Linked DNA regions of Caenorhabditis elegans. The protein of the gene in region 2 purifies or fractionates together with the protein of the main gene of each other region. This does not show direct contact. Each region holds a gene or a part of one and is shown on either strand. Other genes may lie near its edges.

Evidence for each region. Proteins that work in one complex are often made in the same cells at the same time.
Region 1: the proteins of exos-7 (region 2) and dis-3 fractionate together in Caenorhabditis elegans (co-fractionation; one large-scale study listed by BioGRID). This does not show direct contact.

What each region holds. Positions count from the first base shown.
Region 1 is NC_003282.8:10,094,558-10,100,812, forward strand, and holds the start of dis-3 (putative exosome complex exonuclease RRP44), read left to right. Parts: upstream 1-2,644; 5' UTR 2,645-2,650; coding exon 2,651-2,737; intron 2,738-2,784; coding exon 2,785-2,981; intron 2,982-3,154; coding exon 3,155-3,470; intron 3,471-3,788; coding exon 3,789-4,029; intron 4,030-4,252; coding exon 4,253-4,691; intron 4,692-4,748; coding exon 4,749-5,050; intron 5,051-5,168; coding exon 5,169-5,569; intron 5,570-6,255. Other genes in the region: C04G2.5 (BTB domain-containing protein), read right to left, coding at 1-222, 282-415, 466-525, 618-668; msp-36 (Major sperm protein 10/36/56/76), read left to right, coding at 876-1,259. UniProt on the Caenorhabditis elegans protein: Putative catalytic component of the RNA exosome complex which has 3'->5' exoribonuclease activity and participates in a multitude of cellular RNA processing and degradation events. Has both 3'-5' exonuclease and endonuclease activities.
Region 2 is NC_003283.11:20,836,410-20,842,810, forward strand, and holds exos-7 (Ribosomal RNA-processing protein 42), read left to right. Parts: upstream 1-2,455; 5' UTR 2,456-2,459; coding exon 2,460-2,636; intron 2,637-3,829; coding exon 3,830-3,941; intron 3,942-3,991; coding exon 3,992-4,331; intron 4,332-4,759; coding exon 4,760-5,069; 3' UTR 5,070-5,173; downstream 5,174-6,401. Other genes in the region: num-1 (PID domain-containing protein), read left to right, coding at 1-184, 366-631, 684-815; mrps-12 (Small ribosomal subunit protein uS12m), read left to right, coding at 1,671-1,817, 1,862-1,961, 2,012-2,139, 2,193-2,291; F31D4.2 (Sugar phosphate phosphatase), read right to left, coding at 5,731-5,799, 5,971-6,159.

The DNA of each region.
Region 1 (6,255 bases), on a different chromosome or scaffold from region 2:
CAGAGAATCTTCAGATCATTTTCGTTAACCGCATGGAAGACAAATTCTTGCTCGTTCTTTCCAAGAAGATGTTGACAACAGAAGGCATCAACAAAGTCTGTTGGGAATAAATTCCTGGCCTTCTCAGACTCCTCATAGCTTTTGACGTCGAAGTTGTAGTATCCAAGATATCCTTGTTTCCTTGACGGAATAAAGTTGTGCACCATTTTATGGATTTTTAGTCTGAAATGTTATTTTTGGAAGTCTTAGAGATGATCTGAATGTCGGTTTTGCTCACTTACCCTTTCATTTGTGCTTTTTGTTGAACTACACGTGTTTCCACCGGGTTTGGGGTAACGAGCTTAAACCAGGAATATTTATTTGGTGTCCAATCAGAGGTCTCATCGGCTCCTTGCATAGCCAGTCTCGACGAAGTCTGGAAAATTTGTTAGTGCTATTCAAATAAAAAATTCAAGTTCAACTCACTATTACCAAAGAAGCGTCTGAATTTATTGATAGCCTATCAAATTGAGTAGTCATGTTGTTCTATAAAATATCAAAATTTTTATTAAAAAATTTTTATTAAGCTTCTAGACTTGAACTGGTTCTAACTGAATGTTATAATTGAATAAACTCACATTTATATCACAGAAACGATCTGATTTTGACTTATCGTCGTGATTATCCATTTTTGAAACAAGACGAGAGAATGAAGTAATGAATAATATCATCGGGAATTTTCCCGAATAAACTTTAAATTTCCCCGTGAAATCTCATTACCCTTTTCCACGTTTTGTAGTCTATAGATCTGGGACAGTGATAAGAAGGTTGCTATAAATTGAGAATATTTTGCCATAATCTTCATAGAGTTTTCATAACTCCTTCATCGAACGACCATGGCCCAATCCGTCCCACCAGGAGACATCCAAACCCAACCAAACGCGAAGATCGTCTTTAATGCTCCATACGATGACAAGCACACCTATCACATCAAGGTGATCAACTCATCGGCTCGTCGTATTGGATATGGTATCAAGACCACCAATATGAAGAGACTTGGAGTTGATCCACCATGTGGAGTTCTCGATCCAAAGGAAGCTGTGCTTCTTGCTGTTTCCTGCGATGCTTTCGCCTTCGGACAAGAGGATACCAACAACGACCGTATCACTGTTGAGTGGACCAACACCCCGGATGGAGCTGCCAAGCAATTCCGTCGTGAATGGTTCCAGGGAGACGGTATGGTTCGTCGCAAGAACCTTCCAATCGAGTACAATCCATAGGATGTGTGAACTGGGTTTCTTAACAATAAACTTTTTTCAAGTATATGTTCTGTTTTTCTGTTTTAATCTGCAAATTGAATATATATTAATACTCAAGCGAACAAGTTTTGTGTTCCATCGATGCCCTTAACATAAGCATCCGGGATTTATTGTAAATCGTTTGGAACTATAGTAATCCTACCTTAATCTTCCAGTAGTCATTCAGTTCAGAAGACTACCCAACCATACTACTAACCCAGCCCATCTCTCCAAAACCTGAAAGCTGTTTTGCTCCGTAAAGGTCGAGGAGGGTGTATTTTTCTTACAAATCAAAGAAATTAACAAGTGAACCGATCACAACTTTTTTTGCTGATATGAGAGAAAAATACTTTATTGATTGGTTCGAGTAAATTTTCGAATTTTCGAAAAAGGAAAGATCCCTGGTATATAATGTCTCAGCTCTGCTATGTATTTTTCTATTTGAAATTCCGAATTCAAATTTTCTCTAGATGAAAGCCTTGGTATTGAATTCTATGCTGGGTTTAGTAAATTTTCGAATTTTCGATAAAAATTATATAATGAAGAAAAATATCCAAATTGGAGGTATTTTAATTTTAGAATACGGGAACGAAGAAGATCAAGATCACATACAAAGTTTAATGGATCTGAAGACATTTCAATTTATCTGGGTAGAACCAATTCTTCAACTCCAAATTCTACAGTAACCGATTCTTAAACATCTTATGGAAGTCCATCGAGATATGTATTTCATTATCATGTTCTTACCCGTTTTTTTTCAATAATGAGATTCTATATTTCGCTTAATGTTTTTATTGTTCTTATTGCTTCCAAAAATTAACATTAAAACAATAAATATTTTGCATCTTGACAAATTTAACATTTTAAAGTCTGGTCAGATTTCATCCTTGAGGACAGTGCTGTGTCTACATACATGAAAAAAAATCAAAAAGTGGCGATTATTTAGTTTCATCCGCATTAAATTTTGTAAGACAAAAAAGTTTGGCAATTTACCAAATCTATGACTGAAAAATTTTCAAAAATCTAAAAACGTTTTGAGCATTATTTTTTAAGGTTATGAGGCCCTAGATAATCATGTTTCCTACCCGATTATCTATTTTAGATGTTTAAACTTCCGTTTTCATGATTTTAGCCATACTCTATTTAGATATATTCTTCCTTTTCATTTCATTTTTCCTCGCAGCTGCGATGGCAGTGTTGTTCGAAGTGTTCGTTTTCGTAGTGCCTACGACACTCCGATGTTCCACTCGCGCGTGTTGTTCACCGTAAATGTACACTGAGTTTTTCTTCGAATAAAATAGTTTTTCCTTCATTTTTCACCTGATTCGTGCGATTTTATTTGTTTTTCACACGTATTTTCATTATTTGAAGGTATGGATTTGAACGTCAAACAAAGTGGAATTCATTCCGTCGCTTTGCACACGACTTACTTCCAAAATCGCTCGGGGAAAGTCTATAAAGTGAGAAAACCTCTCCGAAATCACCTAACCCAATTAAAATTTTGCAGAGAGCCGAAGAAAGATATCTACGAAATGATCTTTCATGTGGACTTGCTCAATGTGGAACCTGCAAGGATTTCGGCACAAATCCGCTGTTAAAAATTGAAAATCCCGTAAGAAATGCGAAAGTTGGAAGGCACGCGCTGATTGTGGATTCCACATCATTAATCAGATTCTACGATTTGTTTGATTCGTCTTTATTGAGGTAATGAATTAAAATTACAGCGGAATCATTTAAATGTAGATGGTTCTACTGTCCAATTATTAAATTCTTAATTTGTTGCTCCAAATTCAGTTTTTAGAAGTTGTCGGGATTGTAACAAACATCTAGTTTCAATTAAAAACTCTGTAAAATAATAAATTATATTTAATTTTCAGAGATCTCATCGTAACCCAGACTGTATGGGAAGGAGTCAAAGCAAAAGCTGTACCAGCCTACAAGAAAATGAATTCTTTGTGTTATGAAGATGCGAAAGACAGATTTCACGTGTTCATGAACGAATTTCACTGCGAGACCTTCTCCGAATCATCGAAATTTGAGGATTTGAGTCGTGGCGAAGAGCTTCTACTTTCAACAGCTCTTTACTTGAAAACTCATTGGCAGAAGCATAACGTGGCTCCTGTTGTCTTAGTTTTTGATGAAGATTCGAAAAAAAGAATGGAAAATCACTACCAACACGTGATGTATTTAAAGGTTAATAGTCGAAAAGTTCAAAACTCTGTGGATCTTTTCTGAAACTGGCGAAATTTCGAAAAAGAGCCAAATTTTGTTAAAAGAAAATTTTTGATTTCTTAAGACTCATAATGAAATTCTGTCGTTCCGAGCTAGTTTCAGACTATTTCAGCCAAAAACCCTAAAATATACACCTCTTTAACATATTTTCGCCGTAACTAAACTTTTATTCAACTAAAAATCATGATCCTTAATCAAAAATTGTATAATAAAGTACAATAAAGTTTGAAAAATGATCCAGTAACCCCGTAGAAAAAGAAAAAATCTCCAAATTTTCAGGAATACATACAAAATTTGGAGGATCCAGGAAAACAAGCACTTTTGGATCAAATGGCTGCGTATGAAAGCTCTGGAAATGGAAATGAGAAACAAATTTTCGATGAATATCTATCGCATGATAGAATTATGGAGGGAATTGCCAGTGGAACGATCAAAAGAGGAAATTTCAGTGTTTCAAGAGAAAATTATCGCGAAGCTACTGTTATTATTGATGATCAGTTAACATCTTGGTTCATCACAGGTGCTTGAATTTAGTTGAAATATTTATTTTCGAAAACCAACCAAATTTTTCACACAAGTCATTACTTTTTGCTGAGAATTTTAAAAAAACTTTTTTATAACGAAATTAGGTGGTTTTCGGTCATTTTGAGCGAAACAACTCTGAAATTATATTTTTAAAAAAGGTGAAATTTTTCCAAAAATTCCAATTCTCTGAATAATAAAATTTTTATTTCGAATTTTAGGAAATAATTGCAATCGTGCCGTCAATGGAGATACCGTCGCAGTTCAACTTTTGCCAGAAGACCAATGGACTGCTCCAGAGAAGAAAATTCGACTCCGTGACGTTGAAGAATATGTTAAAACTGCAGATGACATGGGAAATGAAGACGAGGAGAATGATGACGAGAACGATGAGCCAAAAGCTAAAAAGTCGAAGAAAATGACTGTTTCAACTGCAAAAGTTGTTGGAATTATCAAAAGAAATTGGCGTGAATATTGTGGAATGTTGCTGCCAAGTACAGTGAAAGGAGCCAGAAGACACTTGTTCTGTCCAGCTGAACGACTTATTCCAAGAATTCGAATCGAGACGGAACAGGCTGAAACTTTATCACAGCAGAGAATTGTGGTGGCTATTGATCACTGGCCAAGAGATTCCAAGTATCCACTTGGACATTACGTCAGGTATGTGAAATTTCAGAAAATCTTGAAATATTTTAACGGAATGACTGTTGTTTTCAGATCAATCGGAGAGATGGGATCCCGTGAAACTGAAAATGAGGTTCTCCTTCTCGAACATGATATTCCACATGCTCCATTCTCAGAATCTGTTCTTGATTGTCTACCACGTGAAGAATGGGAACCAGATCTCACTGAAAACCGCGGCCCTCTACCACGTGTTGATTTGAGAGATTTAACAATTTGTTCAGTTGATCCACTTGGATGTACAGATATTGACGACGCATTACACTGTAAACAAATTGGAGAGGATCTTTTCGAAGTTGGAGTTCATATTGCAGATGTCACGCATTTTGTTAGACCAGGTAAATATACTGAAATTATTTAAAAATTCAAGTTTTACTAAAAAAAATGTTTGTCCTTTGAGGTTCGAATAAAACCTCATTTATTTTCAAAAAAAGAACCAAAATTTCCTACGTTTAGGAACCGCAATCGACGATGAAGCAGCATTACGTGGAACTACAGTATACCTTTGTGATCGTCGTATCGATATGCTTCCATGTCTGCTCAGTTCCAATTTGTGCTCACTTCGCGGAGAAGAAGAGCGTTATGCATTTTCGTGTATTTGGACAATGACTTCTAGTGCTGATATACAATCAGTTAAATATCACAAATCTCTAATTAAATCAAAAGCTGCATTGACTTATGAGAAGGCACAAGAGATTATTGACGATCCAAAAGAGCAGAATGACGTGGCATTGGGATTACGTGGATTGATGAAATTGTCGAAAGTTTTGAATGCGAGAAGAACTGGAAATGGAGCATTGACGTTGGCATCGAGTGAAGTTCGCTTTGATATGGATTGGGAGTCCAGAACACCAAAGGTTTAAAATTTAAAAAATATTACAAAAAAAAAAGTTATATTCAAATTCAAAGAAGAAATATATTTTATACAACAGAGCGACCTAGAAACTGATTTTCATTTAGATTATTACAGTAATCTCTCATTAGAGCGCGCTTGCGAAATTTCCAGTTCTTTTTTGCTAACTTTTAAACCATTTTAAACCAATAAAAATGATTTAGATCAGGCAATATCCCTCAAAATGATTTTTATTTGAAAACATTTCTTGGGAGTTTTGTGAAATTTGTTTTAAAAATACTCAGACAACCCTATTTCTCATCTAATTAGAAAAATAGGATGAACTAACGCGCACCAGTTCGGCATGCTTTTTTTCTAATTCGACGCGCATTGTTTCTAATTCGACGAGCATCCCTTCTAATTAGATGTGGTGTGCGTGTTTTCTAATTAGATATGCATCCTTTCTAATTAGAAAATCCTTTTCTAATTAGATGTGGTTAATTTCTTATTAGATGTGGCTATTTTCGAATTAGATGAAAAATGGGGTTGTCTGAGATACTTGGCTTATGTATGCTGTTGCTGATCAAAAATGATCAAAAACTTACATATTTATTGTGCAAAAGATGTATGTGAAAAACGAATTGTGTTTAATAATCGTAGAAAATCGCAATGTTTTGTATAAATGTGCTCTAAATTTCACCAATGGAGTAT
Region 2 (6,401 bases):
ACATCAGGCTCTCTTTCAAACAATGGTCTCGATGGAATCAATTTGAACTGGAAGTCGATTCCGGCGCCTGTTCATCAAATGCAGCAACATAATGCGAATGGAGATTTTGTTGCCGCGTGGCCTCAAAATACTATAGAAAAACCGACAGTCGGACCATTGGATAAGCTTCAGAAGCAGTTTGAAGGTCAGTTTCTGCTGAAACTAAAAATCCGATAAAAAATGCAAAATTGAATTTTTAAAATCGGTTTTCTTTAAAAAACCAAATGCTGCTTGGCCTTGCAGTTTTTCGGTTTTAGAAAAATCGAAATTTCAGTCACATCTCAAAAAAAAAAAAACTTTTTCAACTCCAATTTGCAATTTTACAGATATCAAACTGATAAGCATCTCATCGGGTGAAAATACGCCAACAACTCGATCAAAAGCCGACGAATGGCTGGATGATGTGCTGAGAGTGTCGATGAGTATGTCACCAACGTCACCATCATCAGATCCACCGTCGACTTCATCGTACTCTGTTCTTCCGAAATCTGGACCCCCACCCGCCCATGCGCCTCCTCCACTACCAGTGAGACAAGCGGTTTCGAATGGAAGCCCGTCGATTTATCAACAGCAGTTACAGCAAGCAAATAGTGTATGTTGCTGGAATTTTGAAAAAAAACACTGAATTTTTTTTTCTATTTCAGACTCGAAATTCGCCGGCTGGAATAAACTGGAACTCGTCTCCAAACCCAATGAAAATCTCCCAGCCACCAGCAAAACCAGTTGATCCATTCGATGTACAGTGGAGCAGATTAGCAGTGAATAATACGCATTAAGAGAACTAATAAATACAACTAATCTTATGTAATTTTGTAATACTAATTTAATAATTTTCTTATTTTAAATTTAAATTCAAATTTTCTAAATATATTGTATTATTATTGTTTAAATATATATTTACAGCCTCTAGTTTCATTCTCCCTTTTCATTTTCCAACCGTTGTGTGGCCAGCCTGATTCTTGTCATTTTCCCGTCTCCATTCTGAAATAGACTGCAATTTCTTTTTCGCTTTTTTCACTGGTTTCCCCCATTTTCGAACATTTTGTGTCTTAAATCAATTTCTCCGTCCTTCAAACAAATAGTAATAAGAAATTTATGCTTTTATGTTGGGATGCGGTTTTTTTTTAAATTTTTCTGGTTACTTTTGTCCCTGAAAATTCAGTATTTGGAAATTGAGTTTTGCAAGAACGGCAAAAAAATTCAGAAGAAAAAACCCGATAATCCGTTTAACGTCGCGTTTCTTTTAATCGCTTATATGAGTGTAATTAAAACAAAAAGTAATTAAAAACTATCCTATTTTTCTGAAAGAAGAATAAATTAACAAAATTTCGGTATTTTTCTGGATTTTCGTTCATTTAAAATACTACTATTTCTAAATTATGTTTTATTGAAGATAACATTACGCTGTCCACATTACTATTCCTTTCAGTTCAATATTTTATCATTTTTCATCTTTCCGATACGTCTGAAGGTTTTAGCAAGAATTTCAGTGAAAAAAAGAGGTAAACGCGCGCCACCGTCACGCGATAGAGATGAGAGACGCGCAGACGACGAGACGGTTATCTTTTAAGCTTTTTGTTTCCGGGAGGCCATGAAACTTTAAAAATCTCTATTAAATTCCTATTTTGTAGATGTTACCTCGTCTTGGAGGATTTCTAGCCGGGTTTTCCAGTACAATCAGCTCATTTCTTCCGAAAACGACCGCGTCTACACTCTTCACACATCAATCATCGCAATTTTCAACTAGTTTTCCTGCTTGGAGAAACAATTTCTTGCAGGTAATTCAATCTTAAATCATGAAGAATAATACTAAAAATTGCAGTTTATTCACTACCGAAATGGCCCACCAAAACGACGTGCTCGCAGTAAGGATAAGAGCGCAATCAGTGGATATTCTCATTACAAAGGAATTGTGCTGAAAAGTTTCCATTTTTAATTCTCTTGAACTAATCAATAAACTAGATATTTTCAGCCGTGATTCGTCACCCCAAAAAGCCAAACTCTGGAAATCGAAAGTGTGCAATTGTGAGATTGTCGACTGGAGCAGAAGTGTGCGCGTATATTCCGAATGTCGGACACAATTTGCAGGAACATTCACAGGTTACACAGTCTCTTTTCGCGAAAAAAAACGTTTTTTTTTTACTTTTTTACAGGTGCTGGTAAAAGGAGGACGTCGACGAGATTTGATTTCTGTCAAAGCCAATATTGTGCGAGGAAAGTACGATTGTGCACCAGCAGGAGGACGGAAATAATCATAATTAGGATCTTCATCTCTAGATTTTTGTTTCTTTGTTTTTTTTTTATTAAAATGTTTTTCTTTAGAAAAGAAATCGATTTATTCAATTTCCAAGTTTCAAAGCTTCTTTTCAATATCTCCATTTCACAAAATCATTTTTCAAAATATATCTTCCTTCAGCCTAATGGAAGTCCATCTTAGCGACGACGAGAAGTTATTTCTGATTACTGGAGCCGAAGCGAACATTCGGAATGATGGACGAAGTTGTCAGGATTTCAGACAGATTATTCTCGAGAGAGGTGTTCTGTCGGGAACGAATGGAAGTTGTCGTGTTCAATTAGGACAGACTACCGACGTTTTGGTGAGGAAATATTGTCGAAATTAATTAAATGAAGCGAAACGTAGTGAGATTTTTGTTTTAAGATATAAAAAATGGATTGTAATACCTGAATCTTCTGGAAAATCGAAAAAGTCGAGAAAAATATTTAAAAAAAACCATATTATTTGATTTTTTGTCTAATTTTGTTTATGAGAAAAAATATTTTAAAAGATTTTCTAAAAAGTAGACAAATGACCAAAGTTTATTAAAATTTTGGTCATTAAAAGAAAATATAAACAAAATTAGACAAAAATCGAATTTTATGGTAATTTTTTGAATATTTTCAAAAAGATTTTTCGATTTTCCCCGAAAAACAAAAAAATTCAAAAATTTCGAAAATCTTTTATTACGTAAACACAAAATTCTGAGAATGCGTATTGCACAGCACATTTGCCGCGCAAAATTTCTCGTAGCGAAAACTGAGGCCCCACGAAAAGGGGAGCAGAACGAAAAGGGGATCTGCAAAAAGGGGATCTGCGAAAAGGGGATCTGCGAAAAGGGGAGATACGAAAAGGGGAGCTGGCACTGTGCCAAACGCACAAAACGCAATTTTTCTCACGCAACGCACGTTGATTTTTGAAATTTTCTTCTAGAAGATACGCTTAACAACACGCGACGCGTAACATCGGAGCATCGTTGTATCGTTTTCTTCGAGAAAAATAGCGTTTGGCACAGTGCCAGCACCCCTTTTCGTTGCTCCCCTTTTCGTATCTCCCCTTTTCGCAGATCCCCTTTTTGCAGATCCCCTTTTCGTTCTGCTCCCCTTTTCGTGGGGCCTCCGAAAACTACTGTAGCGCTTGTGTCGATTTACGGGCTCCATTTTTTTGAAAATTAATTTATTCTCGAATGGCGGGAGCGATGTTCTCTTTATTTTCTTAATTTTAAGTGATTTTCAATACTTTATCGATACATATATAGATAAATTATTTTAATCCATTTGAGCTCGTAAATCGACACAAGCGAGTAGTCTTTTAAAGAATTACTGTAGGTTTCGCTACGAGATATTTTGCGCGTCAGAATTTTGTGTTCCCGTAATATGTCAGACTTTTCAAATAACACCCCACTGGATATGAAGGATTTCTCTACAAAATTAGTGAACATTTTTAAAAAGCTATTGATATATTGAAACTATTTTCTGTCATATAGACTTGTTTTTAAAAAAATATTTTATACAGGCTGGAATCAAACTCGAACTAGAATCATACGATGCTGAAACAGAAAAAGAGCCAAAACAACCAATTAATTTCAACGTGGATTTCTCAGCCAACGCGAGCAGTCAATTCGCTGGTATTAAGCTCTAAAAATCTTAAAAATCCAAAAATTTCAATTATTTTCAGGAAAAGGAGGCGACGAATACGCAGAGGAACTATCGGCAGCATTTCAAGCGGCTTATTCAAAAGCACTCGATATTATGCCGAATCTCGCGAAAACTCAGCTGGCCGACGGATATCGCTGGAAAATTAATGTGGACATTTCGGTTCTTCAGTGGGACGGAAGTGTTTCCGATGCGATTTCTATTGCAATCATCGGAGCATTGAGTGATTTAGAGTTTCCAGAAGGTGACGTTGCACCAGATGATGGAGGAAAAGTGAGAATTGTGTTGAAACGGCCGAAAGTTGCTGGAAATGTTCGAGATGAGAATGTGCAAGTTGCAATGTGGAAATTGGATGTGATGAGGTACAGGCTCCGCCCATATATTGGCTTGAAATTTTTTTTTTTTGAGATATATGACAAAAAATGTTGAATGGAAAATATTTTGTTTTTTTTTTCTTAAAGGGGGAGTAGAGTTTGTGGGTGTTTTACTTAAATAGACTAAAACTGGTTCAAAACCAGCGAATTTCATAATGAGACTTCACAAAAAATGTACGACAATTTATAATGGCGGGTCAAAATTTCGAAAAAAGAGGCAAAGTTTGCTATAATCTGAAATTTTGCCCAATCTTCTTTGTCACAGCCGATGGAATTTGATTTTTCTGATATTATCACCCTTTAATCCATATTTTGGTTATTTACCTCGCGTAAATTCGTTGATTGGGACAAATTTTTTGAGACAAAAAATCCTCAAACTAGTCGTGTTTCACCTCTAAAATGAAAAAAGTATTTAGATGTCCACTGCTGCTGACAATCTCAAAAATTGGCACTGCTAATCTTGTCGACTGCACACCCGAAGAAGAATGCTGCATTCGATCTCAATTGCTCGTTGGATTGGCGGCGATTGCAGACTCTTCTGAAAATAACGAGCCAAATTATGATGTAACGTGTGTGAAACAAGTTGGCGGTGGACTTTTGGAGATGGAATCGATTCAGGAAATGCTGGAATTGGCTGCGAAATCTGTTGGTGGATTGTATGGAGCTCTGGCAAAACGATTGAAAAATGAAGAAATGAGGAAACCGGGACACTCTTTCTTGCTCTAAATTTATGGAATTTATTCAATTTGTTGATTTTTTTTTGAATTGTTACCTCTTATCGTTATCTCGTTTTTTTTCTCACTTGAACAAAAAAATTCATTTTTACAAATATAAGCGTTTATTAATACTAAAATAAATACAACAAATGATTGGGGGAAGTTCTGGATGGGTGGATTGTGAGGTAGGAGCGCAATGGGGGGAATCTAAATCTAGACGATCATTCACACAGAAGAAAAGTGCAGGGAATTGTATTTTGGGAAGTTCTTTTTAATTTCTAAAAAAATATTAGAAAAAATGACAGAATTTCTTAACGATTGCGAACAATTTCAGATTTGAATTTTTAATTTTTTTAAAGCTAAATTTTCGCTTGTTTCTCGAAATTCGGGACCTTTTTTGTAATATATTTAAAAATAACAAAAAAACTTCGCTACTCTACCTTCAAAAAAGTCAAAAACAAGAATTGGGACAGAATAGTTGCTGAGTAAAGTCTACGTGCATGAAAAAGCCTAAAGATGAAATTAGTTGCAGTAGGAGCAATATGATATGAGTGATAAAAAAACTAATTTAGAAGAAAACAGAAAAAAAGGGAACAGCCGGAGACGACGGTGTGCTGGGAGGAAAATGCGATTTAATGGGGTTTTTTGTTGAATATTTGAAGAAAAGGTGATTAGATCCCGCCAAGTTGACATACGGCATACTCTCCTGAAGTCATCCACGTGTTGTCTTCTTCGAATTTCTGAAAACAGGCTTTTTGTTAACCTTATTTAAATTCTCTAAATTTTGAAGTAACTTATCCGATTTTGCGACAAAAAAATTAGCAAGGACCGAATTCTTTTTGATGTCTTATTTTTATAGTTTTTTTTTTCGATTTATAATAACTTTTTTATCAAAAAAAAAAAGTACGAACCTCTAATAAAATAGCGATGGACTCCTCACTCAATCCGGCAACAGTTTCAGCTTTAAGAGTACGCAACGCCATAAATGGACACGGTGCAAATCCACGACAGGCGGTTTTGAACGAAGTATCGAGATCCCAGTCCCGATCACCAACAAGCTTACGGTAATTCAAGTCGCCTTTGAAGATTATTAACGACGACTGAAATTGATTCAAATTTTCAAATTGGGATTTTTTTTGTTGGAAGCTCAGATTTTACAAACAGGTCCCCAGACACTACCAAACTCGCCGAGAAGAGTAGTATACGGTTTTCTCCAAAAACAATTATCGGTTTAGGAACATTTTTGCAAGTTAAAAAACTTTGACAATTATCTATAAATAAATATCCAAACTCTGAGTATGGGTACTGCACAACACATTCGACGCGCAAAATATCGCGTAGC